Arabidopsis thaliana: one gene and its partner. The protein of the gene in region 1 interacts with the protein of each later gene in a biochemical or structural test. Each region holds a gene or a part of one and is shown in the gene's direction. Other genes may lie near its edges.

Region 1 (15,347 bases):
GATTAGAGGTAATTGCGTATAAACAGGTAATGGGCAGGAGTATTTAAATATATTGCTAGAAATATACGGAATAAAATATTAAATTTACTAAATACCGTTTTGGCTCGGATTCGGATAGTTTTAATCGTATAGTTTTGATCGGATTCGGATAGTTTAAATCGTCTAAATTACACTTCGAATTCACTAATTCTGATAAATTTTCACATCTTTAAGATATGAATATTTTGGATAATTTTGAGAAATTGAAAATATGTGTTAATGTCTAATCTGTAAATTAAATTGTAAATAAAACAAAAAAAATAAAATGAGTATAGGTCGGATCGGAAAAAGTGTTTCAAAACCGCCTGAAACTAAAACTACCAAAAACAAAACACTAAACATAACTATAAACTTATGATCATGATCCCTTATCCACATGCTATAAACACTTAAGTCTAAGATTGTGAAAATAATTGAGATGTTTTTTAGTAATCTTACATCTGAATCTACGTGACAAATATGATTAATTATGATAGTAACTGGGAAATGCCAAATTGGTCGTTTAGATCATCGGTGGACAGATACTATTACTAGGAGAATCGTTTATCGTGGCATGTGTTACACCCACAAATCTCTTCCTTTTGAAACTTTTTTTTAAGTCTTTTGTCTTCTTCGTGCTCTTTTTTGGTTTGTTTCTTGGCTGTATTTTTAATAACAAAATTGAGAATAGTCTATGGTATTAAGGGCGCCGTTCAGTGGCTAAGAATGCGGTTTCCAAAGTCGGCCATGAAGTTGGCCTCAGAAAAATTCAGAATCGTGTCTTCTTCTCATTCTTATCGTCCCAAGAAATTGCATTTTCTAAAGGATTTCATTTTTAAAAACAAATACTCTAAAATCATTTCTAACTACCTGTCTTATGTTCGGTTTTTGGAATTTAGCTCCGCCAAAACCACCAATATATGCGTTCTTTACTCTTAGAGATCAATATTCTAATCAGGTGTGCTTTACGTTTTTGGTCTTAACTACACGTTTATTTTAGTGGCCGAATCATTAAACAAACAGGATGTGTTGCTCTCTCTTTAGGGATATGTGTTGTAGGAACGATTTACGAGAACGTTCATTCGAACGTGAGGATGAGGATGTACACTACTTCGCATGGTCACGGTCATGCAACTGTTCTGATGCGACTGTTTATGGCATCGAAGATTTGTACATTCTTCTATCAATATGCCATATTGTTTTGTAAGAAATGGTATTGATTTTGATGTAGTAGTTTTCTAGTGATATTTGTTTTTGAGCTAAATAAATTCGAGATATCGTTCTAACGATTATAATAAAACCACAAATAGTTCCCACCTTATATAATATGACTTGATGTATATATTTTACTCATATCTAGTGTGGACTATCTATCTTTTCTACTACCTTGTTGATTATAAATTTAAAACCGTGTATTTCTACACATACTTACGGTTGAAAATCTAAAATGGCTAGTCTTATTTGTAATATTTATCATATATCAGAAAAACGTAACACGTAGCTCCAATGAAAGAACTGTTTCTAATGGATCCAATTAAATGTTGATTAGGACTTATAAGACCCAAGTTCGAACAAACAACAATCACTATTTAAAATGTTGAATCTAAAAAAGATAAACAAGTGTATAATAAGAGTGAGAGAAGAACCAAAAAAAGACGAGGAACCGTCGAAAACGTGGGTGGGGCATGGGTAACGAACGTAGTGGAACCCATACAAAAAAGAAGAGATCAAAGCAAAAGGCAGGATCATGGCTTTGTCTCCTCTTCATTGTACATTTCTTTTACTCTTTTACGGGCCCATTTCCTCATGACTCGATCTCTTGTACAGAGAAGAGATATCGATAACCTTTTTTTGTATATATATTAGTAGGTCCGTTATAATTATATAATTTATATTGGTAAAGACAAAATACTATTTGAGGTACGTTGTATTCATATAATATACGTAGTATTAGGTAGGGATGTTGAATTCAAATTTTTGTTTGATTTTGGGTCGGAGTTTCCAGTTTAGGTAGGGATATTGCGTGATTTTGGAAATCCCTTTGATTGACGAAAGGTTTATTAATGTTTTTATACCAAAAAATTTGAGGTTCGAGTCCCAGATACTAAGATTTATTAACAAATTTGCAGATTAATGGAGGTAAATGTACATGAGATCTCCAACGATGTACAATTATAGCCGTTCGTCAAGATTCTACGTAAAGAGGATCATTGAATATGTCTATCAAAAGCATGGAGAAGAAGAAGGAGATATCATCTCTCGTAGATCTAATAAGAGTCGTAAAAATTGTTCTGGGTAGAATTGTATATGAAACAGTTCTCATAATTTGCAATAAATAATAAATATAGACGGCAAAAAAAAACCCAAAAAAAATTAAAATTTGATGACTAAGACCAAATTGTTTTTATTTTAAGATCAAACATCCCTAGTATTATTAGGAAATATATTTAAAATTGCATAATTCAAAAACAAAGTTAACAAAATAGATAGTTTTGAACATGAGAATGAATTCTTTTCTTTTTTGTGTAAAGATGCTGAAAATTTAAATAATTAAAAACCGTATTTTTTATATAATTTTTTTTGAATCGTATCAAGATTTTTTAATAGCAATAATTCTTACTTTTCAAATATTGCGTAATTTTAGTTTGTCCCTCTAAATTCGAAATTAGAAGCACCAAAATCCTTTCAAAACCGCATAAGAGACAAATGATAGTAAGACTGATTGGTGGAAGTGTGGCCATATACTATTGTTTTAACATTTAGCTACATAAATTTGGCTTTTTGGAAGCTAGGCTATAACTATTTTTTAAAATCATGCAATATTTAATAAATCTCCGCAAAAAGAAAAATATTTTTTTTAATAATCATCAGTAATAAATAATTATTGGCAATTTGGCATTTGGCAAGTGAGAGAAAAGAATAGGAGTAAGTCTACTCACATTTAATTGAACATTGTCATTTTATTTCTGTTAAGTAATTCATTAATGAATTTAGGCAAAGGACCCTCCTGTGCTAATGTGACTCACATGGAAATGTCTTCAAATACAAATCCATATCGTTCTCTCTACTGACACCACTCTATTAAATACTTTAAATACCTTATCTCATTCTTATCTACCTCGACACTTATTCACTAGACCGTGCAAAGCATCGTTGTATATATATGATTCATGTAAAAAATGTTTAAAAGTGGCATCTTTGAGGAATTGTGTAAACATTAACATCTAACTTAATGATCAAGTTTACATTACACATCAATCTTATGTATAAGTTCAGTGTTTAAGTGAACCGTACATAACCATAAAAGGTAAAATTGTGTGGTAGATTGGAGCCTAAAGAGCCATAAGGAATGTTTGGTTAAGTGGGCTTTAGTTATATAGTACAAGAGACTAACATGCTTAAGGAATGTTTCTTTGGTAGAAAGGTAATGCTCCCGAAGCCTCTCCCGCTTCACCTGCATATGAAGTATCGTGTAAGAACTTTGCAATAAGCCCCCTAACACTACAAGACAGAGAAAAGTTCATGCTACAAGACTACAAATTCATAAAATTATATAAACTATTATTCTTTGATCATTATTAGCACAAGATATGAATATGAACCCTACGAAAAAAAAAGATATGAATATGAATATGAATATTTGTGTATATTAAATCAAAATTGGCTACGACAAAAAAAAAAATTCAAAATTGGCTATGGGAAAAAGCTAATTATGTAAGGTTGTTCACAAAAGGGCTCTTTAAACACAGACGATTCTTGATCCTTATACAAGTCTTATGTTCAATCTTGCAAGATCAATTTAAACTACAAACTTGAATATTGTGCTCCACGTCATAGGTTTAAAACTATAACTATAAACTACAAAAGTTGGTGGTTCCCTTGTTGACATTTTCCAACGCGTTGACATTTTAACACATTGACTTGAGACGTCCATATACTCAATGGCTTACTCCAGAACCTTGAAGCCCGGTGGAGTAGATCTAGATAAGTAAGGTGAATCATCTTCTTCCTCAAACTCTGTTTAACTGTCAAGAAAGCGGATCTTATAGGCATGGGAAACTGTTTTCTAACCGAACAACTTGCAACAATTCCAGGTATATATGAATCTGTGTGAGGAGACACATCAATCCCAAGACGTTATCTCCATCTAAGGAAGGTGTTGGCATGGCCATCGCCGTTAAGAGATTTTACTTAACCTATGAAGAAGCCTTGCAAAAGTGATTTGTAAGAAATTAACCTCTACGAGAGAGACTGATCACTCATATATGTATGCTTAACACGGCAGCCGAGGTTTGTAGGTTGACCTAGAGTTTCTACGACATAACCTGCATCCAAGCTTGGTCAAGCTCATTGGTTACGGTTCGGATGATAATTGTTGTTCATTGTTTCTGAATACTTTCCAAACGGAAGCTTAGAGCGTTACATTTATAGGAGTAAGCAAGCTAGAAAATTGTATTGAGCGCATTTCTTAGAATTTACTACGAACCTCCTGAATACATATTCTCAGGTAAGTCCTCTCTCAAGCTACAGAATGACCATTAAAATTCATACACTAACCTAAAACTGATTGCACGGTAATACGCATATACAGGGAGATCACACATGGCGGGCGATGTATACAGCTTCGGTGTTATACTATTTGAGATCTTAACTGGTTTGGGAAACCCGTGCATCATCTTAGCAGAGGAAGCAACAGAGAATAGAAAAGAAAACATTGTGGAAATGATCGATCCAGATTTAGAGAATAGCTATCGTGTTGAAGAGGGGATGCGTATGTGCAAGCTCATAAAACTGCCTTGAAAGAGATCCCAAGGAAAGACCATCCATGCAACAAGTGCTAGATAATTTGAATGCTATAGCCCATATTTGAGAGGACAAACTAAGGGTTATAAAGGATTGTGGTTCAGAGGTTACACGCCTCTCTTCAGAGCTCCTATGAGGAACTGTGAAAACATTTCCAAAAGCTAGCTTAAGGGTTTGTGTGCCTTTATGTCTTTATGTAGCATGATTTACTCTCCTCCTACCGGTGTGGGATATTTTACTCATATTTCTGTAATAGCTCAATCAAGCTTACATTACACATCCAATTCAATCTCATAAAATCTTATACATAAGGTTCACATATCCATGCATAACCATACAAAAGCAAATTGTGCGGTATTGAAGCCTAAAGAGTACTAAAACAGTGACCCTACTATAAGCACAAGAGAGACTAACATGCTTAAGGAATGGTTCTTTGGTAGAGAGGTAAAGCTCCCAAAGCCTCTCTCTCAGCTCTCTCCCGCTTCACCTGCACATGAAGTGTCGTGTGTTAGAACTTTGCTATATGATTCTTCTATCACTACAAGATAGATAAAACTGTTTTTGTTCTTACAAGAGCCAACATGTCTTGGAGGTAGCTCCTGAATGGAGTCTGCACTGCCTGTGGAATTACAGAGACAAGGAAAAGAAAAAAAGATTTACATAAGCTTCCTATCTCACAACTAACAAGCACTATCTCAAAAAAAACTTCTTTCATAGACAAGATCTTACAAAGCTTATCAAGTTACAATTATATTACAGAACCAAAACAGGTTTCTGAAAACAGAGTGTTCTTGATCCTAATACAAGTCTTAAGTCAAATCTTGCAAGCTCTATCTACAAACTCCATAGCTATATACCGTTTTAGCTCTGTTGTCACTTACTTAGAGACTAAAACATACCTGAAGATTATCTGGGAGGTATTCATGTTTCATAGAAAGATCCATTGCACGCATAAGACGCTGGTTCCGAGCATCAACAATCTCTCTCGGTAAACGATTAAGAGCTTCTTTAATATCCAAATCATACAAAGGATCATAAAGATCGTCGTATCTAAGACCTAAAAAATCGTAAAATTCCCAAAATCAGCCAGAAGAGAATTAGGGTTTGGTTTCTAGGGTAAGAGAGAAAGAAAGAGTACCGTATCTGCGGAGGCGATTAGAAACAGACTTCATATGCATACGAGCTAAGAAATTCTTCCTGGGATCTACTAGTCTCTGGAGAAACGACGCCATTATCTTCTTCGGAGTAACGTTGAAGATGTGAATTGTGATGAAACCCCTTCGCCGCTATTTGTAATTTAACCCGGGAACGAAGAAGGAAGAAGCATCCAGAGACATCTGTTTAAACGCCGTCGTATGAAACTCTAGCCAAACGGCGTAGTATGTACTCTTATCAAAAAACGGCGTCGTATGACTCACCAAATAAAACGCGTCAACCGTTGACTCTCAAACGCGTTTTCGTTGACTTTGCTCCTCGGTGTGAAAAACTAAAAGTCCTCTCTTCTTCATTGAACTCTAGTGTTAAGATTTAGCAGAGAGTATCCGAATGGGAAATTGTCTCTCAGCTTCGACACTTCCCACCGAACCAAATGCTCCCAAATCAGGTATACATATATATATTTCTCTGCGGATTTAAGTACTTTTGATTTGAATGTTACTATAATGGATATAAGTTTTGTTATAATATATGTATAGTGGAGGAGGGTGTGAAAGTCTTCACGGTGGCAGATCTGAAGAAAGCGACTAATGATTTCGGAAACCAGATGGAACTAGGAGAGAGCTTGGGATACATCAATCCCAAAACGTTATCTCCGGCCAAGAAAGGTGTTGGCATGGCCGTCGCGGTCAAGAAAATTTACTTAGCCAATGAACAAGCTTTTCAAGATTGGCTTGTAAGTAATTATATCATCTCAATCTATAGGAGAACCTTCGGCAAAACCAATAATATTGTTAAGTTTCTTGTTACTTATTTATTCTTCTAAATTTTTTGATGTTTTTGGATGGTAAATGTCTATGTTGCCTACCCCTAGAGATGGGTCAGTGTGTCTTAACATTAGAGATGATATTTTTGTAGGTTGACGTAGAGTTTCTACGACATAACTCTCATCCAAGCTTGGTGAAGCTAATTGGCTACTGTTATGATCGTGATATGTTGTTTATTGTTTCTGAATACTTTCCAAATGGAAGCTTAGGAAGTTACATCAGTAGAGGTAAGGAAGTTAAGTTTATTCATCTCCTTTTCGTCATTATATCTTGTGAGTAGACTCAAAGCAAGAAGAATCTTGCTCGAGCAAGACCCAAAGGTAAGAGCTCTTAATAAGAGCTTTAAAACTAGATCTAAAAATTGAGATAGCTCATTAGAGCTTTATTTAGTGGAAGTGAGGAAAATATACTAATTGAAGAACACCAAGCTAAATGATTCCTAGATAATTTAATATCATAGAGAGGGAATAAAGAGAGTTGCTCAAATTGATTTCTGGAGCTCTCACGAGTTTACGATCTTAACCTTAGATCCAATAGTAATTCATCTTCCTTTTGGATTTAATGGTTTATATAATATCATAGATAGTCGTCCAAAGTCATTGCCGTGGGAGACACGACTTAAGATATCCATAGGAGCGGCTCAGTGTCTTGCCTTCTTGCACTCTAGGAAGCAAGCCGGTCTATACCGCAGATATCTCACTGCTTCGAAAATCCTGCTCGACTCGGTTTGTATTCACCTTGCCTTTTTTGTTTTTTTTCTTGAATACTTGCTCCTTACCTTTAAAGTGACATTTATGGGATATGCAGGACTTCAACGCAAGAGTTTCCTATTTTGGAAAGCCAAAAGTTTCTCTCGATGAATTGGTATACACCATCGGGTTTTCAAATGTAGCACCTAGATATCAATACCCACCTCCCGAATACATACTCTCAGGCAACAATCTTCTGCTTCTTCCTTATATCTTAAAGTTAAAAGTGACCATTAAATTCAAAGAGACTAACCTTAATTGATTGCACTAATCAAATGAAGGGATGTCGAACATGGCGGGCGATGTGTATAGCTTTGGTGTTATACTACTTAAAATGTTAACTGGTTTAGGAAAAGACCTCACAATCTCAGCAAAGCGAGAAATAAAAAATAAAAAGTACAACATTGTGGAGATGATCGATCCAGATTTGAAGAATAGCTATCCACTTGAAGCGGGAAGACTTATGTGCGAGCTTATTAAACAATGCCTAGAGGTAGACCCGAAGATGCGACCAACCATGCAAGAAGTGCTAGATAATCTGAATGCTATAGCTCAGATTTGAGGAGAAACTATATAAGGGTTACTAATGCTGAAAACATTGTTTCACTATAAGACAGTTATAACATAGTCAATGTATGCATTTGTATACAATAACTCGTATATGACGAGAAGTATTAAGAAACAAGACCTAATTCTCCATTCTTATCCATCACTCAAGAACAGAGCTATATGCTAATCAACTTTGAACCTTTACACTATACAATGATCATTATCTTCTTCGACCTCTCTCTCTGCAATACGTTGAAAATATGATTACTTTGGAGCCACGCTATGTGTCAGAAGAATAACCGAGAGATGACGTGTAAAGCAAAAAGCGTTGTGAAAATCTTTTATCTCCTCTAAAATAACTTTGACTGGTGTACCATTGTTATTCTTGCTAGCTATTAACTGGTCTTGAAATTTGGCGCATTTTTCTTGCAAAGCAAGCAATACGAGGTGACAAGGTATTCATGGCAGAGGTGATCGATCCGGATTTAGAGAATAGCTATTAGCTATCCTCATGAAGCGGAAGACATATATATAAGCTTATAAATAATGCTTTCACCGTCACCCGAATAAATGGCCATAATGCAGCAAGTACTGGATAATTTGAATGCTGAATAATCTCATATTTAATTGCTGAAACAAAGTTCCACTATAAGGAAAGTTATAACATAGTCAATGTATGCCTATGCACAAATACAGTTGTGTACAAAAACAATTGCAAAAGATTCTTTTTAATGTGGTTCAAAGGTTACATGCTTCTCTTCAGGCTCCGGGTGCACCTGAAACAAGATTCTTGTTTATATGCATTTTTTCATATCAATGCTTGGATTGTGTAGAATAGATATAATTTGTTTTTATTACCTCTTTAAAACTTATGGTTCGGATCCTTATTTCACCTCTGCTTGTAGTCATCTCATCCAATATCTCCGCGTCGTAGAATTCATCTTCACCTTCTGATAAATGATGAGAAGACCCTAGTTTCTGCTCACAAAATGGTTTAAAGGTATCACACACGTGTACACAAAAAGCCCCTGAATCAGTTTAAACTCATTAAGAGACCAAAGGTTTACCCTATATGCGAAACTTGAGTGTTGGATAGGTGCTGCTACTATTTCTTCATAGTCAGAAGCATCTAACACTTGAAGGTGTTGCATATCGAATAACTTGGGAAGCAAGTGTTCTCTTATACTTATAAGTAGAAAGAAGAGTGCGGGGAAAAATATCCCGGCCATAGGAATCCATGTCATACCATAGCACAAGAGAAAATAAACCAACTGGAAAAGTGTGAATGTTACAATCACTCTGTATGGTACCAACTCCACAAATGAAGCATGCACTCCTTCCAAGACTCTGCATTTAGATGAAACCAGTGATTGAGAAAGGCAGACCTTTCTAAAAATAGACTAAAGAAAAGATATATATTAACTAACTTGAAAAGCCGGCTAGGAGGAATAAAGAGAAGCAACAATCTCTCCCAAAATTGGTTTCCCGGGAGACTGTCTATCGCCATATAAGCAAAGTAACCCCAAAGTACTGAACTTGGGATCATTTTAATGACTGTCACTGCAAGAAGTGTTAAACCAACAAGAACTGATTGCAAAAGATTGCTCACTCTTTGCTCGTTTACTCTAACCGGTAAATTAGCCTCTATATGAACATCGGGATCGAATTTTCCTTTTGTATCGCCTCCTTCGTCTGGTCTCATCACAACTTCTTTCAACTCTTTTAAATCTGTTGCTACAGAATTATCCTGCAAAAAATTTAAGGTTCTTTTTTTTCTTTAATTTCAAACAATTTCTTTCTATAAATATAGGAGAAGGCATTATTACTAACCTGAGGTGGGGATGTCTCCATCTCTATAAACACTGATTGCATTCTCCCATATATTTCTGATTTGCTTGCTTTCATTTTCATACACTCCTTTGCTTTCTTCACCATTTTCTTGCGTATAAGCTGCAAAAAATATATCATCATCTCTGTTTCAACTCTCCTTCTTCTTCTCATATATATATATGTATTTGTTCTTACTTGACGATTGAGAACCGCAAGACTCTTTGTGTGCATTGGAGCCTGAGGAAGAACACCATTTGAAGGTGGAAGTCCAAGTAGTCCACATATCAAAGTCTATAGATCACCACCATAACAACAAGATTTAATTGGTATTTATGCCATGAAATAAGTATCTTTGAAATAAGTTTTAAGAACATTTAAGAACTAACAATAATTCCAAGCAAGAAGATGTCATAGTGATAAGCAGAAGGATTCTTTAGATTAAACTCTTTCTGTTGTGCCATTTGTGAAGCTACACTATGGTCGAAGAAGTAAAGTCCTGCTATCATCACACCAGGTATAAACGCAGCTAAGATATACATTATCGGTACCTTCCCCATGTCCTGTATATAATAAGTTTTGTATTCTATAAGTTTTGCATTTGTATTGATCACTCAATCATGTTTTGCATATCTTTAATCTTACCTTGACTACAGTCCAATGATACAATGAAGCTGGCTCCCATGGAAGAGGACAAAACAGTCTCCGGGGAACACTTGGAAGGACTTCACTAGGAACTGTGTAAGACAATGCCGTCCATAACAAGACCATTAAAGGAACACCGTAATCTCCAATGAAACTTCGAAGCCACCCTATAGTTATAAGTGGTCTAAGTGAATATCAATGTACACTTTTCATGAACTAATGTAAATAGACAATGACGTACCAAAACCATATTTCCAAGATTTTGCTCTCCTACTCTTTAGCGCGGTGATTAGAAGGCCTAGCGAGAAAATTACCGCAAGCAAACCATTTGCATAAATCAAGAGGAAATGAGATTTCCCTGTTTCTTGATTTTTAATCTCGGGGGCGTGAAACTCACTGATCAATCCCTGAAAACGTATTATAACTAAGTATGTTACTTGTTGACTAAGTAACCTAGAAAATGAAGTTGGTTATACCTTTATAGCTTCTTGTAAAAACAGAACAGCAATCAACATGCCAAAAAGTTCCCCAGCGATTCTCGTAAACCTCGTGATGATTGTGCCCGCGTTAAATATCGAAAGAAGGATAAGCAAAACTGAAGTCCATACACAAACCCTATAGAAACAACATATAACAACAAACTCTTAGAAAGCAGATTACATGCACGTACACTAACAAGATTATTGATTTGTTGTGATCATTACCATGCAACCCAAGCTAGGTAAAGTTCTCGACCGATATCCGGTCTACTAATGCAGAAACTGTAAAGATAAGTATACATAATGATGGTTGGCTCTGCAACTCCAACTATCAACAATGGTTGTCCACCGAAAATCGCATGGATGATTCCGCATATCGAAGTAGAAGCTAATGTTTCCACTGCACTTAGAGCTCCACCTTTCAACAACAAGTTAAGTAAAAATCATCAAAGTTAATTCTTTAGGCGATTCATAAAAAAGCAACATGGAAAAGAAATATTTATATATATACCTGTATGTTTACTTAATTGTTCACCAAAGGCAACTACAGGAAGAGACGACGCAAAGAAAATATAGCAAGTCGGAGCCAAAATTCTAGTGAAACATTGAAATCAAGTAATTCAATGTTTGGCATCAATATAAATTTCAAGAAAGATTGAAATATAATTAACCTTACCTAATACCGGTTTTTATGCCACGAATCCAATCTTGTTTGTAACATTTTCGTCTACCTTCGATATCTCGAAGAATTCCCTGAAATGGACCACTTTCTCCTTCACTCTTCATTTCTGCATCAAACGAGAGCACCTAGCGTGTTACGCACGCATTCACAATTATAACCTATAACAGCAGACCATTAGAATAAGCTTCTAAACATATATTGATGATTCGACTTCGACATACCTGGAAAGCTCAAGAATCGAGGAATATGTTAGACAGAGAGGGAAGACATCAAAGGAGATTCAAAAAAAGACAAGACAGAGAAACTTTGAGAAAAGAAGAATGGTGGGAAAGACTTGTATTGCTGAGATGGCATAATCTCATTGGCTGGAAATTAATAGCAAAATTTGTTTTTGGTTGCTGTTAAGGGTAAATGGTAAAAATAAAAACATGATTTATAGTTAACCGCGTAAATTTTTCCACCTATGATTCTAACTTCTAACAGTTTCAACAATAATGGTGTTATAAAAAGTTAAAAACTAATTAACCTCTATGACACGTTAGCATGTTTAGTTAGTTTGGATGATAAATAGTTTGACCTTTATTTGGTTGATAAAACGTAATTAGATTTTCTAAATTAATACTACGTATATTAGTGTATTCTTAATTGGCGTTCTCTGTCAAAATGTTCACTCAAATACTTTTGAATTTGTGAACTAAAACGTTTTCATCCACTGACGTGGGTTTATCCAGCGGTAAATCGGTGCTAGCTTCGACGGTCGTTGGGAAAGGATAAATTTAATTTTGTGTGAGTTCTGCCTCTAGAAAATGTAAGACTTTTGAATGTCCATTGACATAATCTATTAAAGGAAATGACAATTTACTTGTATATATTAGGTACCATTTATATCAAATTTATCACTAAACATTTATAAATACGATTACATTTTGATACTAGTAAAATGAAACAAAACAATGTAAAAGCATGAATACATTTTTTTTAAACTATGTTAAGTATATAAAATGTTTTTATGCTAATTCGATTTCAGGACCAATATGGCGGTTAATTTTTGGTCCGCACCACTACGGACATGATTTGTGAATGGTAAATAAAAATTGGTTCAGTCCATATTTTGGGTACCCGAAAATATCTGAAATATGATTATATATTCAAAAATATTAGTTATTTTTTAGATCGAATAACTAAATTTCCAAAATTATAAAAAATATTCAAAAAATCAAAAATTACCCAAAATATCCAAAAATATTCGAAAATATAGAAAAATGCCCCAAAAAACTAAATTATCAAAAAATATTTGAAAAGAATATCCGAACGGATCCTAAACTTAAAAGCCGAAAGAATCGGCGAACCAGACTGAAATGAAATCGAATCTATACTTGAACGTCCATGCCTAGTCAAGATGAAACTGCTTTTATTATTGTCTTTTGTTTACTTAATGTTAATGGTCATGTGTTTAGTCAATTTATCTCTGAATTTTACTTTATTTTTTAGTTTTGAAGTCCAATTAGAATACTTATATATATTAGGTAGATTAGATATACCATTCATATCAAATTTAATATTAGATACATTTATAAATACGATTACATTTTTTGATACTAGTAAATGAAACGGTACAAAGTACAAGCGTTAATACATTGTTATTTAAATGATTTTAAATATATAGAATGTTTTCTTAGGCTAATTCGATTTCTGGAGAAATTTAGAATTTGCTTCTTTTTTTTTTTTTTTTTTGGCTGATGGTTAATACACCAATAAATACATAAGCCTAGTAAAGTAGAACATACCACCCCAAAAATATCATGTAAAAGAACTATCTGAACTTTTGCGGAATGGATGGCCTTTTGGGTCTAAACGGAACTAATTATACGGTACCAAAATCCGTCGAGCTGTTCAATGGAATAGTAGCGGAATCTATAGTTATGGTGTCGTGCACATAACCTATGTTTTTTCAGGCATGTTTATGCGATGCCACTAGTTAGTATAGATAACAAGGTATATATTAAATTAGCTGCATGTATGACCAAGCGCTGACGTTTCTTTCAGGTAGCTGACAAACAATTTTGCTAATATGATCCCATCATTTTGTATACAACATTTCCAAATGGCATTCGTTGCTCTTTTGTTCTCCCTAGCGTTAGTTGATTGGATCTTATTGTCGGCTCTTTCAGATCCTTCAAGGTCATTCTAATATTTTCGACATACTTATTTACAGAGCCGTACCTAATTGATCCCTCCGATCTCTTTAAAGAGCCGTGACATACTAGTTAATGATACTCCTACAAGATTATATGCTTTACAAAATCCATTAAAAATCAAAATCTAAGAAACTCTTTCAAATTAAAGTTCTAATAAAGACTAATTAACTCTATGAAACCAAAATCAACACTACCAAAGCCGGTAATAAACCTAACCAACCGAAACCACACCCTGACCTTCCAAGATTCCGGCTACTGCTTGACCGATTAGCGTGGTGGTGCGACATACCATAAAAATATGGAAACCCGCCTAGACCACCGCGAGATTGCTTTAGACGGTCGTATCTGCCACCGCGTCCTCCTCTTCCCTTACCGCCACCACGTCCGCCTCCTCCCCTACCGCCACTGCCCTTTTGGATAAAGACTGCTAATTTTGGCGTCTTTCCACCATAGCCAATAACACCTTCTGGCTTGGATATGGTGGAAACATGGTTGGTGTCAACGGAAGCTAGACGTAAGGATCGTTAGTCTACGACGGAAATAAAGTTGAGATGCAAATAAAGAACGAATAGAAAATAGAAACGCAACGACGTTTTTGCCAAACCCATGATTGTGCTTGTGCCCTGAGCCCCTATTTTTTTTTAGACGTTTCACATATAAGGGTCTTCGAATTTTACGTTTCCATTCTAAGTACTGGGAAAACAATTTTCTTAGTGAAATCGAAAAATGGGAATTGTGAGAAATGAGAAATCAGACGCGGTAGATCTTTCTCCAATTGTACACGGTTTAATTTGACGTAGAGAAAAATGTTGCAAATTCTATTTATTCGTTAATATTTTTTGGTAATATTAGTTATTTCTAGTATTTATTCTGAATTCATCAAGTTTTATTTTGTCTATTTGGTGTATATTTTCTTATTATTAGACAAAGATTATTAATTGTTTTTCACCTAAAAAACAAAGAGTGGTGGAAAAAAGCCTAGCTAAAAGAAATCACATGTGTTAGATAATCTCACTAACATTTTATTCATGGATTGTTTCATGAATTTTAAACTGTGATTTAAAAACGTTTTTAAATACATAGCATTTTTTGTCAACAAAGAAACCTTATATACATTTATGGATTGTTTTATATTTTTAACTTCAATGTATTTAAAAAACGTAGCAGCCATGGAGGCAGTGCCGTGCCTGAGTTTAAATCACCTTAAGCCCCTATAAACCCAGACATGACACTGCATGGAGGTAGCATAAACTGCAATAAAGGTCACACAGAAGATGATGATTCTCATGGAGATCTTCATATTGCTCTTGGGCTCTCGATCTTGGTGTTTTGAGAAAATATCAAATTAATCCTTTATATCATACTAGGTGACGACCCACGCTATGCGTGGATTTAATAAATAGTATTTCAAACGT
Region 2 (16,304 bases), on another chromosome or scaffold:
CCACCTCCCACCAATTATATATAAATTATGAGATTTTGGGTTTAACAAAACTCAAAAAACACAAATACACCCAAAACAAGATGAGCTCCTCTGACTCTTCTTCCGCCGAATCCCGTCTAGCCACGGCTAAGACGGTTCTCACCACCGCGGCTTCGGTGGCTGCGACCGCAATGCTAGCTCGATCTTTAGTCCAAGATTATTTGCCTGACGAGGTGCATCACTACATTTCCTATGGATTCCGTTCCATCTTTGGTTACTTCTCATCCCAAATGACGATAATCATCGAAGAATTTGAAGGTTTTGCTCACAATGAAGTCTTTGAAGCTGCAGAGGCCTATCTAGCCACCAAGATCTCTCCTTCTAACAAAAGAATCAAAGTGAGTAAACATGAGAAAGAAAACAACTACAATGTCACCGTGGAGCGTGACGAAGAAGTTGTTGACACCTACAATGGCGTCAAATTCCAGTGGATCCTCCATTGTCGTCATGTCGAGTCCAAGCACTTCCACAACCCACGGGATCTAAACTCCACACTGAGATCTGAGGTCCGATCATTCGAACTCAACTTCCACAAGAAATTCAAAGACGTAGCTCTTGAATCTTACTTGCCATTCATGGTGAAAAGAGCCACGTTGATGAAGCAAGAGAAGAAAACACTCAAGATCTTCACTCTCTCCCCAGAAAACATGTATGGGAACTACTCTGACGCGTGGACCTCTGTTACTCTTGACCATCCTTCTACCTTCAAAACTCTAGCAATGGATTCAGATGTCAAGACAAGTGTGATGGAAGATCTAGACAAATTCGTAAAGCGAAGAGACTTCTATAAAAGGGTTGGTAAAGCTTGGAAGAGAGGTTACTTGCTGTACGGTCCACCAGGCACAGGGAAGTCAAGCTTGATCGCAGCCATGGCCAATCATCTCAACTTTGATATATACGACCTAGAGTTGACCGCGGTTAACAACAATTCTGAGCTCCGGCGATTATTGATTGCCACTGCTAATCGTTCGATTCTTATCGTAGAAGATATCGATTGTTCACTAGAATTGAAAGATAGGACTAGCGATGAACCTCCTCGGGAATCTGACGATATAGAAGATCCACGGTATAAAAAAGTGACACTCTCTGGACTGTTGAATTTCATAGATGGTCTATGGTCAAGCTGCGGTGACGAAAGGATCATAATCTTCACAACCAATTACAAAGAGAAACTCGACGCGGCCTTGCTGAGACCAGGACGTATGGATATGCACATCCACATGTCGTATTGCACACCAAGTACTTTCAAAGCTCTTGCTTTGAACTATCTTGAGATCAAAGAGCACCGCCTTTTCAGCAAGATCGAGGAAGGTATTGAGGCGACAGAGGTCACTCCAGCAGAAGTAGCTGAACAGCTTATGAGAAATGACTCTGTAGACAAGGTTCTTGAGGGTTTGATTGAGTTCTTGAAAGTCAAGAAGATCGAAAACGAACAAGATAAGGCCAAAACAGAGAAGCAAGAGTTGGAGAACAAGAAAAAGACCAAGGAGGGAACAGATTCCGTAGTCAAGAAAGAGGTTGATGAACAGCTAGTGAGGAATGACCGTGTTGATAAGGTTCTTGAGGGTTTGGTCGAGTTGTTAAAAGCCAAGAAGATCGAGGACGACCAAGATAAAGCCAAACATGAGGAGGTTGAACAACATTAACTTGTGAGATATCAATACCTAAATCATTAAATCGCCAGTTACTGTCTATAATCTACAGATTCATTTATAAACCTAGTCCTAAGATAAAATAATCTTAGAGAGATTGAGACCAAAAAAGGGAAAAAATTGAGGAGATCAGATAAAACACCTCTGCATCCGAGTGGTAGCTGTAAAGAGAAGAGCACGTGTATTTATACAAAACTATGCGTTTAGCTTGTTTTTTCTCTCTGTTTTTTTTCTAACTTTTTTTAGCACAATTTGTTTTAAGCTACTAAAAAAAAAGTTTGCCGACAAAAAAAAAAAGGTTAAATTTTAACTTTCCGAATCTTAATTTATGACAGTTGATTTTTTTTTATCTCACCGATAAAATAATATCTTCAAGCCACATTTGTGAAATTGAAAATCTCAATGATTCCGACAAAAAAGAAAATCTCAATGATTCCTTCCTTGTATCGAGAAAAGGAATTGACACTAATTAAGTGGGCCAAAATTTTGGCACCACTACACAATTCGTTTAGTCAATACTATTATTAAATGGGCCGTACATGTTTTAATTTTCTTCCTTTCTTTGTAGATGTATAATTGATCTTCTTCCTTTTCCTCAATTTCTATTTTTCCTTAAAATTGGGCTTTTAAATGTCATTTCCTTTTCGAGTTATTTCCTTTTTCGTGTTTATATTTATTTTTGTCTTTGACTCCTAATCCTAGATGCTTTTTTTTTTTCGTCAGTCCTAGATGCTTTACAAATAAATAAAGAAAAATATTTGAATGAACTTTATATTAACTTCTTTTATTTTACCTAATTAAAATCGGACACCTAATAACAATAATAGAAAGTTAATTATAAAATCTAATTTGCCACTAAAACAAAATTATGTATCGGTTTGGGTTTATTAGAAAAAATTAGGGTTTAGATTTTATGATTAAACGAGGTTAAATATCAGTTTGGGTTTAGAAAGTACGATTAGAGTTTAGATTTTCTGATTAAATGGGTTAAATATTGGTTTAGTTTTATAAACAGATTTAGATTTTACAATTAAACGAGGTTAAATGTCGGTTTGGGTTTAGAAAATACGATTAAAGTTTAGTTTTCTTACGATTAAATGAGTTTAAATAGCGGTTTGGATTTATAAAGGAAAATTAGAGTTTAGATTTTGTAATTAAACGAGATTTTATATCGGTTTGGATTATAATTATAGCTTTAATTTATTATGTAATTTAAATAGGATTTATAACATATTTTTATTGGTTAATGCAAAAAAAGGTGAATAAAAGAGAAGAAAACGCCCAAGCTCTTCACTCTCGACACAGATTACTGGTACTCATCAGACCCATGGACCTCTGTTACTCTTAACCATCCTTCTACCTTCAAGACGCTAGCTTAGAAGAAATATCGTTTTGCATGTTTTTCTCTTTAGTTTTGTTTTATCGAACGAGATTTTTTCTACCATAATTTTTTTATATAGCATAATTATACTTTGAAAATTATTATAACTAAACCTTGGTATTAGTCTAATATCTTACATTAGTTCCTCCGGTTCATAAAAAAATATTTTCTAGATTTTGTTTCATAATGTTTTATTTTTTAGATTCTATATTAGTTAATATCATTAAGTCAAATGAGAGATATTTGAATTACTATTGGGTAAGCACTATAGTAATTTAAACACAAGCATAGTTAAATCAACAAAGAAAAAAATCAAACAAAGGATGCAGAAACATATATGAACTTGAAAAAACCCAATTATTAGATATTTTGTAAAGAATCATCAAAAATAAAACAATCTTCTTAGAAATATTTTCCAAAATGTTGTCTCGAAGAACATCTATTAAAATTGGAACGATACATAAAAGATTAGTATAGTCCGCATAAGACACGCATAAATCGAAATATAATCCAAATTATTTTCAACAAAGAAAAAATTACTTTTCAAGAAAGTAAATATTTTGCTAACATGTCATTCTAACATTAAAACTACTATTACAATTTTCAAGTATAAAAGACAAGTCAGCATATATGTTAAGGAGCAAAGACTTTGCATTTTTGCAGCGAGCCAGCGACCAGACTCTAGAAGTCTGTAGGGGCTATCAAGTTTTCATTTTTAACGATACTTTATCAAATGGGCCGTAATCTTGGCCCACTATAGACCATTCATTTAGTGTTCCATCACCATTTAAATAGTAATCTTTCATTCCCTAATTATCTCAATCTTATGATCAGAGGTATTCGTGAAAATTTATTATTGATCGCAGAAGCCTTTCATCAAATAAAAGAGAAGAACTGGTATCAAATTTTCTCCTTAACCTTAACATTTTTTTTTTTTTACTTGTTAAGATTCCAATTTGTGTGCTCATCGTAAAATTATCAAAAGAATAGCATCGTTTGTTTAACCTAATCAGATTTATCCCCACGTAACCTAGTAACAAATACAGTACTATTGTTCTATAATCAGATTTTTTTTTGGATTAGTTTCTTGTCTCTTTGATTTATGAGAACCGACTTGAATGTATTTATTTTATTTTTGATGATTGAAGGAGATGAGTTCCTCTAGTGAATCTCATCTAGCCACCGCCAAAACAGCTCTCACAGCGGTTGCATCAGTTGCTGCAGCCGCAATACTAGCTCGATCAGTGGTTCAAGATTACATGCCAAACGAGGTTCATGAATATATCTCTCACGGCTTTCGCAGATTCTTCAGCTACTTCTCTTATCAGATGACAGCTGTAATAGAAGAATTTGGAGGTTTTGAACACAACCAAGTGTTTGAAGCTGCAGAGGCTTATCTCTCCACCAAGATATCTAATTCCACTAGAAGAATCAAAGTTAACAAACTTGAGAAACAGAGCAATTATAGTGTTACTGTTGAACGTGATGAGGAAGTTGTTGATATTTTTGATGGCGTCAAGCTTAGTTGGATCCTTGTATGTCGCCATGTCGATAAAAAGGATTTTCGTAACCCGAGAGATCTCAACTCCACTTTGAAATCAGAAGTGCGTAGTTACGAGCTTAGTTTCCGAAAGAAGTTCAAGAACATGGTTCTTGAATCTTATTTACCGTTTGTTGTGGAACAAGCTGCTTCTATTAAACAAAAGTTTAAAACATTGAAGATCTTCACCGTTGATTCTTACTCCGTGGAGTGGACCTCTGTGACTCTAGATCATCCTTCCACGTTTCGCACTCTCGCTCTGGATCCCGAGGTGAAGAAAAACTTGGTGGAGGATCTTGATCGATTCGTGCAGCGGAAAGGCTTTTACGGGAGAGTTGGAAAAGCTTGGAAGAGAGGTTATTTGTTGTATGGTCCTCCCGGTACTGGAAAATCAAGCTTGATCGCAGCTATAGCTAATCATCTTAACTTCGATATCTATGACTTAGACTTGACATCACTTAACAACAATGCTGAGCTACGGAGGTTACTTATGTCTACTGCAAATCGTTCCATTCTAGTTGTGGAAGATATAGATTGTTCAATCGAGTTAAAAGATCGGTCTACTGATCAAGAAAACAACGATCCGTTACATAAAACGGTGATGCATTTTGATTCACTATCAGTTATGTTGTTATGTGATCTTTTGCTTATTAGCATTACTAATGTTTTGGTTAGTCATTTTCAGGTCACACTCTCTGGTCTATTGAATTTTGTAGACGGACTATGGTCAAGTTGTGGTAACGAGCGGATTATAGTGTTTACGACTAACTACAGAGAAAAATTGGATCCAGCATTGTTGAGGCCAGGACGTATGGACATGCACATTCACATGTCGTATTGCACACCAGCTGCTTTTAAGGTTTTGGCTTCGAATTATCTCGAGATTCAAGATCATATACTTTTCGAGCAGATTGAAGAATTTATCCGAGAAATTGAAGTTACACCAGCAGAAGTAGCTGAACAACTGATGAGGAGTGACTCTGTGGATAAAGTACTCCAAGGACTTGTTGAGTTCTTAAAAGCCAAGAAGCAAATAGATAATTCAAAAGCTTAGAAGAAATTTAGTTCTTTTATTTGTTTCTTTGTTAAACACTATCATGCAATTATTGGTTATAAAATGTTACAGAAAGTGAAATCATTTTTTTTTTTCCTAAGTGAAATGCGGATATTGTTTTATGAGGTCAGAACATGTCTAAACTCAATGATAAGATTCTAAAGTAGATTGAGACAAGTTTCGTAGTCGGCAGCAGTAACCAAGAAAACGAGTAAGGTTGACTCTTGACTTGTTAAACCATTGACTTCAATTTCGATAAAGTCTCTATGTAAGCTCATTTTTCTGAAACAAGTTTTGCTAAAAAAATCCAAAGATCTGAAGCTTCAGATCCTTCTCGGCTAAGGCTAAGTCACAACCTTGTAAGTTTACTTTACTTTGGTTAGATTTGTTTCAATGTTCTAGGATTCTACATGTTTCTTGAGAAGATATGGATTAGTTAAAGAATAATCCAATCTTTTGGTTATTGAGATTCTATAGTCGTTGGTTGATTGATTTTTGGAAAGTTCAATCTAGTGATGATACACATAACCGATTGAATTATTGCTTGGTTATAGTTTACCAATTAGAGATATTTCTTGAAGTTGCAGGGTCTGAGTAAATGGTGGACGCTGTTGTAACAGTGTTTTTAGAGAAAACCTTGAACATCCTCGAAGAAAAAGGCCGAACCGTATCGGACTACCGAAAACAGTTGGAAGATTTGCAAAGCGAATTGAAATATATGCAGTCTTTTCTCAAGGATGCAGAGAGGCAGAAGAGAACTAATGAAACGTTGCGTACTCTTGTTGCGGATTTACGAGAACTGGTTTACGAAGCTGAGGATATACTTGTGGATTGTCAGCTCGCGGATGGTGATGATGGGAACGAGCAAAGGTCATCAAATGCGTGGCTTTCGCGGCTTCATCCTGCCCGGGTTCCGTTGCAGTACAAGAAAAGCAAACGTTTGCAAGAGATCAATGAGAGGATAACGAAAATAAAGAGTCAAGTAGAGCCTTATTTCGAATTCATAACGCCGAGTAATGTTGGAAGAGATAATGGAACTGATCGGTGGAGCTCTCCGGTGTATGATCATACTCAGGTGGTTGGTTTGGAAGGAGATAAAAGAAAAATCAAGGAGTGGCTCTTTCGATCAAACGACAGCCAGCTTTTGATAATGGCCTTTGTTGGGATGGGAGGGCTAGGTAAAACTACAATCGCTCAAGAAGTGTTCAATGACAAAGAGATCGAACATCGTTTCGAAAGAAGGATATGGGTGTCTGTGTCCCAGACTTTTACTGAAGAACAGATCATGAGAAGCATATTGAGGAACTTGGGGGACGCGAGTGTTGGAGATGATATTGGAACATTGCTGAGAAAAATCCAGCAGTATCTTTTGGGGAAAAGGTACTTGATAGTTATGGACGATGTATGGGACAAGAATTTGAGCTGGTGGGACAAGATCTACCAAGGACTGCCTAGAGGACAAGGAGGTAGCGTTATCGTGACCACAAGGTCGGAATCTGTAGCGAAAAGGGTGCAAGCGAGAGACGACAAGACTCACCGTCCAGAGCTCCTTAGTCCTGATAACAGTTGGCTGCTGTTTTGTAATGTGGCATTTGCAGCAAATGACGGTACTTGTGAGCGTCCCGAGCTAGAGGATGTTGGCAAGGAGATTGTAACGAAATGCAAAGGTTTGCCTTTGACAATCAAAGCGGTTGGTGGGTTACTTCTGTGCAAAGACCATGTCTATCATGAATGGAGACGAATTGCAGAGCATTTTCAGGATGAGCTAAGAGGAAACACTTCTGAAACTGACAATGTTATGTCTTCTCTGCAGTTGAGCTACGATGAACTCCCTTCCCACCTTAAGTCGTGCATTCTCACGCTTTCGCTCTATCCAGAAGACTGTGTTATACCAAAACAACAACTAGTACATGGATGGATCGGAGAAGGTTTTGTCATGTGGAGAAACGGAAGATCTGCAACTGAATCTGGAGAAGACTGCTTTTCCGGGCTCACAAACAGGTGTCTAATAGAAGTTGTAGACAAAACCTATAGCGGAACCATCATCACTTGCAAGATTCATGACATGGTTCGTGATTTGGTGATCGATATAGCCAAGAAGGATTCGTTCTCTAACCCGGAAGGCCTCAACTGTCGTCACCTTGGGATTAGTGGAAACTTTGATGAGAAGCAGATCAAAGTTAACCATAAGCTGAGAGGCGTAGTGTCAACAACTAAGACAGGTGAAGTGAACAAGCTCAACTCAGACTTAGCTAAGAAATTCACAGACTGCAAATATCTTCGGGTTCTCGATATCTCGAAATCCATATTTGATGCTCCTCTGTCTGAGATTTTGGATGAGATTGCAAGCCTTCAACACTTAGCATGTCTTAGTTTGAGCAACACACATCCGTTGATCCAGTTTCCTCGTTCCATGGAAGATCTCCACAACCTTCAGATTCTAGACGCAAGCTACTGTCAGAATCTGAAACAACTTCAACCTTGCATCGTCTTGTTCAAGAAACTCCTTGTACTTGACATGACGAACTGTGGATCCCTTGAATGCTTCCCCAAGGGTATCGGAAGTCTCGTGAAGCTCGAAGTTCTGTTGGGATTTAAGCCAGCCAGGTCCAACAATGGGTGCAAGCTCAGTGAAGTGAAAAATCTCACAAACCTTCGGAAACTTGGTCTTTCTCTGACTCGTGGCGATCAGATAGAAGAGGAGGAGCTTGATTCTTTGATAAACCTAAGCAAGCTGATGTCCATTTCGATCAACTGCTATGATAGCTACGGCGATGATCTCATAACCAAAATAGACGCCCTTACTCCTCCACACCAGCTCCATGAGCTTTCTCTACAATTCTATCCTGGAAAGTCGAGTCCATCGTGGTTGAGTCCTCACAAGCTTCCGATGTTGAGGTACATGTCAATATGTTCAGGTAATTTGGTGAAAATGCAGGAACCATTCTGGGGAAACGAGAATACTCACTGGAGAATTGAAGGTTTAATGTTAAGTTCATTGTCGGACCTAGACATGGACTGGGAAGTGCTGCAACAGTCAATGCCGTACCTGAGGACCGTGACCGCAAACTGGTGTCCAGAGCTAGAGTCTTTCGCGATTGAAGATGTTGGCTTTAGAGGCGGAGTGTGGATGAAAACACCATTGCACAGAACCTGATGAAACGTTTTAAGCAACTAGATCAATGTTTATTAAACAGTGACAATAAGTTGGTGTATTACATATACCTTGATACAATGTAATGTTGCTTTGACCGTTTGGATTTCATATCGCAATTTTCTTTTCTAATAATCATATAACAAACGAGCAAAAAGGGAAAACAGAGACTAGCAGCAATGGCAGATCTTTGATGTCAACTGCTTGATCAGTCAGAATCAGAGTCCAGATTCTCTGAAGACCTAACAGACCTCCGTATGCTCTCTTGATATTCGGCGTCTTCATCATCTTCCTCTTTCTTCTTCTTGCTGAGCATTCCTGTTAAAGATTTGCACTCTTTAAGCAAAAATTCTCTAACTGGGCCGTTATAATAAAAAAAAGGTGGGACCGAGGTTCTTCATACCCTTTTTAAGAAGAACGTTCTCTAGTTTATTCGTTGTGAAATCGTCCTTGGTTCCCAGATCCTGGAACCCAACTAGCCTATCCATCGCAACTCCCTTGCTAAGAATGGTAAAGAAACTCGTACTTTATGAGTATACACCTAACAACAAACCCTGTATGTAAGAAGGAATAGAAAGAGGCGAAACCTGAAAAGCACAACGCAAGGCAAAGTCTTTATTGCAAGCTTCGTGACAAAGAAAGGAGCATTCTGCATTTATTTCAGCCAAGCATTAGCTTCAGCAAAGGATTGTTGAAAAGCCATTTCCTCTTATAAAACTTTCATCAAATGGTTCACTAACCTCTGCGTCCACTTTAATGAACTTTGTGTCCACATGTCTAGGTGCAAGAGTTTTCAGATGCTTGTCCATAATCCTACAGTAATGCAGTAAATATGTTTGGTTATGAGCTCATATACATATCAGAAGACGAACAAAAAATAAGCTGATGAGAGATCTTACTTGCACCGGTAAAATTCCTTATGGTAGAAATGACATATCACTTTCTCACTCCTGGTGACTTCACCCAAGAAATCTCCTTCACTCACCTCTCGATATTCACCATGCCCTTGTCTTTTAAACGATTCTCTCTTCTCAACCTCTCTCTGTCAAGATAAAATCTTGAAGATTTTAGTTCATACCAAAAGCTGCATAACTATATAGGCCACAATACAATGCCAAAGTTATAACCTTTAGTGCTGCAATCCTATCTGCGTGCAATCTTTCTAGCTCTGGATCCTACAGAACATAGACAAATAAGTCTACCATAGAGACCTACGCTTAACAGTCACAACAAGCAACATTGCACTTACATCCATAAGTTCATCAAGATCAACCTCTTCATTAACAGGATTTGATCCTTGCGCCTTCTCATTTGCAAGAACTTCCTACAAAACCCATATAAAGAACTCATCAAAACCATACAAGTAAGTCCTCACAGGTAATCTACTCAGACAAAGAAACATCAAAAAAACTCATAAAGTCTATCACTATTTCAAAAACAAATTGAGAAACATTCTTTACCTTTTGATAATTTCTTGCAGCAGCCGCCATTACATTTCCAAATGCTAGATTCGAGAGAGTCGATTTGACTGCATCTGGATCCATCTTTTAACACCAAAAATCTGAAACAACAGCATGAAAAAAGCATTAGGATTCAGAGATAAATGAGAGCTAAAGCTTCAAAATCATACCTTTTTCAATTCCTTCCTGATGCGAAGAAGAAAAATAAAAAAACACAGCTTGAGAAATCGAAATCAAAGCTTTTTTCCTTTCTTTACTAACAATTTCAAAAAATCAAAAGATGAACAACAAAGGTGGAAGAAACATACCAAACGACATCGTTTTTTAGTTTAGTAAAAGATATGCATTATTGGGCCTTTCATATCTAAAGGCCCACAGGCCCATATAAGTTAAAATTACGTCGGTCGCTAACCACTACTACACCGACGTCTTACTTGCCATGTGTGTGTGACTCTTAATCAATTACGAATTGAATATATTACTTTTACGATGTCGGCCAACACGTATTGAGTAAAATATCTATGTGATGATGAATTCCTATCCAAAATGAAATTTGCATCTCTATAAAAGTATCATTCAAGAGATCATTAATCTTCATCGATCAAAGTCTTGAATATTTCATCTATATATACCTAAGAAAGAAAAGAGTTAAAGAAGTATATTTTCGATTCAAAGAAGAAAAATGAATTCTCACCAGAATCAAACCGGAGTGCAAAAGAAGGGAATAACGGAGAAAATCATGGAGAAGCTACCAGGTCATCATGGACCTACTAACACTGGTGTTGTTCACCACGAGAAGAAAGGGATGACGGAGAAAGTTATGGAGCAGCTGCCAGGTCATCATGGTGCTACTGGTACCGGTGGTGTTCACCACGAGAAGAAAGGAATGACGGAAAAAGTTATGGAGCAGCTGCCAGGTCATCATGGATCACACCAAACTGGAACCAACACAACTTATGGTACTACTAACACTGGTGGTGTTCACCACGAGAAAAAAAGTGTGACCGAAAAAGTTATGGAGAAACTACCAGGTCATCATGGGTCACATCAAACTGGGACTAACACGGCTTATGGTACTAACACTAATGTCGTTCACCATGAGAAAAAAGGTATAGCAGAAAAGATTAAAGAGCAACTGCCAGGTCATCATGGAACTCACAAAACTGGAACCACCACAAGTTATGGTAATACTGGCGTTGTTCACCATGAAAATAAAAGTACGATGGATAAGATTAAAGAGAAGCTTCCCGGTGGTCATCACTAGATTGATTAACAACTTGTTTAAGCTTATTTTAAGTATTTGTGTGGTGTAATAATATGATGATGTGGCTTTCTTTCATTGAGTCGCTAAATAATATATGTAAGTGATGGATCTTTGAATTAATATAAAATATCTACTTCTGGTTTCGTTTATTTATCTTTCTATCGCTTCAACTATTCCATGTTATTAAAATACTTGTGAGTTGTGACACATACAACCACGTATAATTCACATGTAATTATTTGGTAATTCAATTCTTTACAAGTTTATATGTTCTTTTGCATACAAGTTATCAGGGAAACGACCGCAGTTGTTTGGCAATGTATATTACTCAGGTTTTCAATTCAGGCCCATACGGCCCAAATAAGTTGTTTTTACGGATATCGAGTTAAAAGAGGTGTGTCGATTATAACGGACATGTGTCACACTAACCACAAAACCAACGTCTTACGTAATCGCCACGTGTGTCACTTCAACGCAATTTGATAATAATCATAATACTATATGTGATTATGATCCCTATCCAAAGTTGCGGTTCTATAAAAATACCATTCAAGAGCGTATACATCTTTATCCATCAGTGTCTTAATTTTGTCTATAGCTAAAAAAAGGTTCAATTGTAAAAGGAATATGGAGTCTTACCAAAACCAGTCCGGAGCGCAGCAGACTCACCAACAGCTTGACCAATTTGGAAATCCATTTCCAGCCACCACCGGAGCCTATGGAACTGCCGGTGGAGCTCCAGCCGTGGCTGAAGGTGGTGGTTTAAGTGGCATGCTTCACCGTTCTGGGAGTAGCTCTAGCTCTAGCTCGGTATGCTTCTGTTTTACGCAATTGCTTTTGCAATATTTAGTGTACTCTTTCTATATCACCAAATACAAGAAGTTTCATTTAATTTGACTTCACCTAACTAGAAAAAATCAGGAAACCATATTTTAGATTTAACTCTACATATTTTTTATAAACCATTTTTTGTGTTCAAATGATAAGTTTTTGTTTGTAATTTGAATTATATTCAAGGTATACCATATATTTAAAATTACTAAATAAAATATGGAAAGTGTTGCAAATACATATAGCTTTTTAATTTTTCTGACGATTTTCATGCATGAAGGAGGATGATGGACTAGGTGGAAGGAGGAGGAAGAAGAAGGGAATAACGGAGAAGATTAAAGAGAAGCTGCCGGGTCATCACGACTCCAACAAGACTTCTTCTTTAGGTTCTACAACGACGGCCTATGATACCGGCACCGTTCACCACGAGAAGAAAGGCATGATGGAGAAGATCAAAGAGAAGCTTCCGGGTGGTCATCATTAGTTTCATTTTAATTAACTTGTTTGGTGTGGGTCGTTACGCTTATGGTCGTTGCATGGAATAAATTATAAACCCTCTCTTTTTCGTAACATTTATGGCTCAGGCTCTATTGTTTTGAGTGATACAAATTAAGGTAATGTTAGCACACGGGTGGGTTCACGATTCTAATCGACATCTTCCCATTTAAAATAACAAAGGGATTTTGACGTTTTCTATTCCCAACACAAAGGAAGACAAAAGAAGGAGTGAAAATCGGTAACTATATATAGATGTAACGAATCTTATATCCAAACCAACACTCACAATTAATGTATCCCCCCATCCAACAAATTAAAAGCCACGTTGACGTGACAAATCATACTTGGTGACGCCTTCCTCTATAAATTATCCAACCATGCATTCATCGTCATTCCCACAATAATCGCTGAGAGTCCAAATGAATACAAAAACGGTGAAGTCAATGGCGGGCATTGTTCTCTCTCAAATCTCACTTGTTGCGCTGTTTCCTCTATGTATTTGTTATCAAACACATCAAAGCACGAGCTCTGTAGCCTCTCTATCCCCTCAGTTTTACGAGAACTCGTGCCCAAACGCACAAGCCATCGTTCAATCTTACGTCGCCAATGCATACTTCAATGACCCTCGCATGGCTGCCTCAATTCTTAGGCTCCATTTCCACGACTGTTTCGTCAATGTTTGACAAAATCTAGTCTATTCTTCAGATATATAATGTTTTGATTTAAATAAGGAGAAATGTTGTTTGATATATATATACTCTGGTTGGTGCAGGGATGTGATGCTTCCGTACTATTGGACAGTAGTGGAACCATGGAAAGCGAGAAACGATCAAATGCAAATCGAGACTCTGCTCGAGGGTTCGAAGTCATTGACGAGATCAAGTCTGCCTTGGAAAATGAATGTCCTGAAACAGTTTCTTGCGCCGATCTATTGGCTCTCGTTGCTAGAGACTCTATTGTTATTGTAAGTCAATTCTCTAACACAATCATTAGGATTGATATATAATTGATACAAACACTCGTTACTTTTGTAATTATCTACAGTGTGGTGGACCTAGTTGGGAAGTATATCTTGGAAGAAGAGATGCAAGAGAAGCAAGCTTGATTGGTTCCATGGAAAACATTCCTTCTCCCGAGTCCACGTTACAAACAATTCTCACTATGTTCAACTTTCAAGGACTTGATCTCACCGATCTTGTTGCCCTCTTAGGTATATATACTACACTCGTCCAAGATATTAATGTGGTTGAATTTAAAGGGGTCTTAAAGCAATTGTGATTTTATGGAAGAAACTAATTAAAAGTATAAATAAATGTTAATAACGATGTTTGTGATTGGATAAGAAAAGTTATCTTATCTCTCTATTAAAGATTAAATGCCCTAAAAACTAACACATTGATAAATTTAATTATCATTTCTAAATTGAACTAATAACCATGATTCAAATGTAGGGAGTCACACGATAGGAAACTCAAGGTGTATTGGTTTCCGACAAAGGTTATACAACCATACTGGAAACAACGATCCCGACCAGACTTTGAATCAAGACTACGCCTCTATGTTGCAGCAGGGATGTCCGATTTCGGGCAACGACCAGAACCTCTTTAATCTTGACTATGTGACGCCGACTAAGTTTGACAATTACTACTACAAGAATCTTGTGAACTTTAGAGGACTCTTGAGTTCTGATGAGATATTGTTCACGCAAAGCATAGAGACTATGGAGATGGTCAAGTATTACGCGGAGAATGAGGGAGCGTTCTTTGAGCAGTTTGCGAAGTCGATGGTGAAGATGGGGAACATCTCACCGTTGACGGGGACGGATGGTGAGATCCGGAGGATATGCCGGAGGGTTAACCATGATGTTTGAGAGAGTTTCCATTATTGGATAGTTAAAAGTCCTAAGCGTTTGGTTAACGACTTAACGTTAATCTTTTTTTTTTTTTGTTAAATTTGATTTCTGTTGCCATTGTGTTTAATTTATTTTTATTTGTTCTAATTAATTTATGAGTTTGGTGATTGTATGGTATACCAAAACGTCAAAAACATAACGATTTTTATGGCAACTGAAATTGCTAATGAATTTGGAATGTGATGTGCCTATACTCAACAATACAAATTTTGACGTGACAACTCCATTAGGTGAAATATCTTTCTCGAAATTATGGATGTAACTTAAACATCTAAACTAGAAGTATCGGAATGTTTTTAAGAGGCCCTAGAAACATAAGGAGTGATGTTGTAAAGGAGTTTTGTTTTGTTGTTAGAAAATTTCAAAGTGGAAGTGAGACACATGAACAAATTTGTCGCACTTTTACAAGTTGTGTTCTGGAGTAAACTTTACACTCTTGGCTTTTGTTCAAAGAAGCACATAAAAAAGCTTTAGACCTTTCTTTACTTTAAGAACCATTATTATTGCCGAGATCACACTCGGGTTTCGTTCTTGAATACACATTATTAGTAGTTTAATTAAGACTAGAGCATCATGGTTCTTCTATAAGGCCACAGAGAACGGTATGATTTTACTCTGTTTTGCTTAACTTGTTTAAGAAAGAGAGAATCTCTTGAGAGACTTGTTCAGACTTCTCCTGCTGGATAAAATGATGACCACCTTCAATAACAACTATCTCAAGATTAGGCACAACAATCTTGAACACCTCTCCTTTCACATACTCCATTGTTCCATTAGGTCCTTCATATCCGATATCTTTGTCTCCCGCTATAAACTTAGTAGGAACGACGATTTTGGAGTCTTGCCACGGCGCCAATATCTCCCAATTCCTGTCACATTGCACATTTTCAATACTTGTTTTTGTAACAACAAAGACTGGAGATAAAGTGAGAGAGGGAAGTGAACAACTTACATATCCATGGATCTGTAGTAATTCAAAGGGCCAGTGAATCCAGATCTTTGAAACTTTTCCGCATACACTTGAATCTCTTCTTCTGTTATCCAATCTGGAATCGTCGACGGTATCTCAAGATGATCTATGATCTCTGTGTCAGGAGGAGCCACTAAGTAGTCTGTTCTTGTTATTAGCAAGAACTTCTTCATTACCGATAAACAATCATGCTTGGCAAATGCAGCCTCAGCTCTTCCGGGTTTCTTGTAAAAAACAGAACCGAGAAATCGAATCAACGACAACAATGAGTACCATAATAGTAACACTAACATCATAAATCTTGAAAGTAAATTTGGGTTTTACCTGAAACTGAGTGATGTATAAACCATCTCCAAAAATTTTGAAAAAATCTGAAGGTTTGAGTTTTGGATCTCTTGGGAAATATGGAACAGAGAGACTTATGAAACCTTTGACTCGGTCTGGTCTAAACAAGCATAGACACCAACCTATGATTGCTCCCCAGTCATGCCCAGCCACAAAAGCCTACCACAGTAAAAATGTAAACTTTCTTCTCCACAAATCTATCTA

Evidence for each region.
Region 2: the proteins of AT5G25440 (region 1) and ZAR1 form a complex in vitro, tested with the Arabidopsis thaliana proteins (one study listed by BioGRID).

What each region holds. Positions count from the first base shown.
Region 1 is NC_003076.8:8,847,742-8,863,088, reverse strand, and holds AT5G25440 (Protein kinase superfamily protein), read left to right. Parts: upstream 1-6,279; 5' UTR 6,280-6,366; coding exon 6,367-6,424; intron 6,425-6,515; coding exon 6,516-6,769; intron 6,770-6,894; coding exon 6,895-7,030; intron 7,031-7,385; coding exon 7,386-7,528; intron 7,529-7,610; coding exon 7,611-7,737; intron 7,738-7,833; coding exon 7,834-8,114; 3' UTR 8,115-8,374; downstream 8,375-15,347. Other genes in the region: AT5G25450 (Cytochrome bd ubiquinol oxidase, 14kDa subunit), read right to left, coding at 5,240-5,308, 5,393-5,440, 5,721-5,878, 5,960-6,053; AT5G25430 (HCO3- transporter family), read right to left, coding at 8,830-8,877, 8,960-9,079, 9,169-9,448, 9,529-9,848, 9,932-10,051, 10,127-10,222, 10,318-10,491, 10,574-10,740 and 5 more; AT5G25425 (glycine-rich protein), read right to left, coding at 14,103-14,440, 14,537-14,540. UniProt on the Arabidopsis thaliana protein: Together with BKN2/SZE2 and ZED1, required for effector-triggered immunity (e.g. Pseudomonas syringae effector type III HopZ1a) via the activation of ZAR1, thus being essential for resistance against P.syringae pv. tomato DC3000 expressing HopZ1a.
Region 2 is NC_003074.8:18,929,863-18,946,166, forward strand, and holds ZAR1 (HOPZ-ACTIVATED RESISTANCE 1), read left to right. Parts: upstream 1-5,811; 5' UTR 5,812-6,025; exon of another isoform or gene 6,026-6,253; 5' UTR 6,254-6,264; coding exon 6,265-8,823; 3' UTR 8,824-8,937; downstream 8,938-16,304. Other genes in the region: BCS1 (cytochrome BC1 synthesi), read left to right, coding at 1-1,685; AT3G50940 (P-loop containing nucleoside triphosphate hydrolases superfamily protein), read left to right, coding at 4,224-5,210, 5,298-5,666; PLP3a (thioredoxin domain PLP3A-like protein), read right to left, coding at 9,029-9,138, 9,224-9,321, 9,408-9,469, 9,561-9,633, 9,720-9,862, 9,948-9,995, 10,070-10,144, 10,281-10,364; LTI30 (dehydrin family protein), read left to right, coding at 10,963-11,544; XERO1 (dehydrin xero 1), read left to right, coding at 12,172-12,354, 12,656-12,859; AT3G50990 (Peroxidase superfamily protein), read left to right, coding at 13,293-13,550, 13,646-13,837, 13,918-14,083, 14,325-14,743; AT3G51000 (alpha/beta-Hydrolases superfamily protein), read right to left, coding at 15,396-15,654, 15,738-15,979, 16,080-16,259.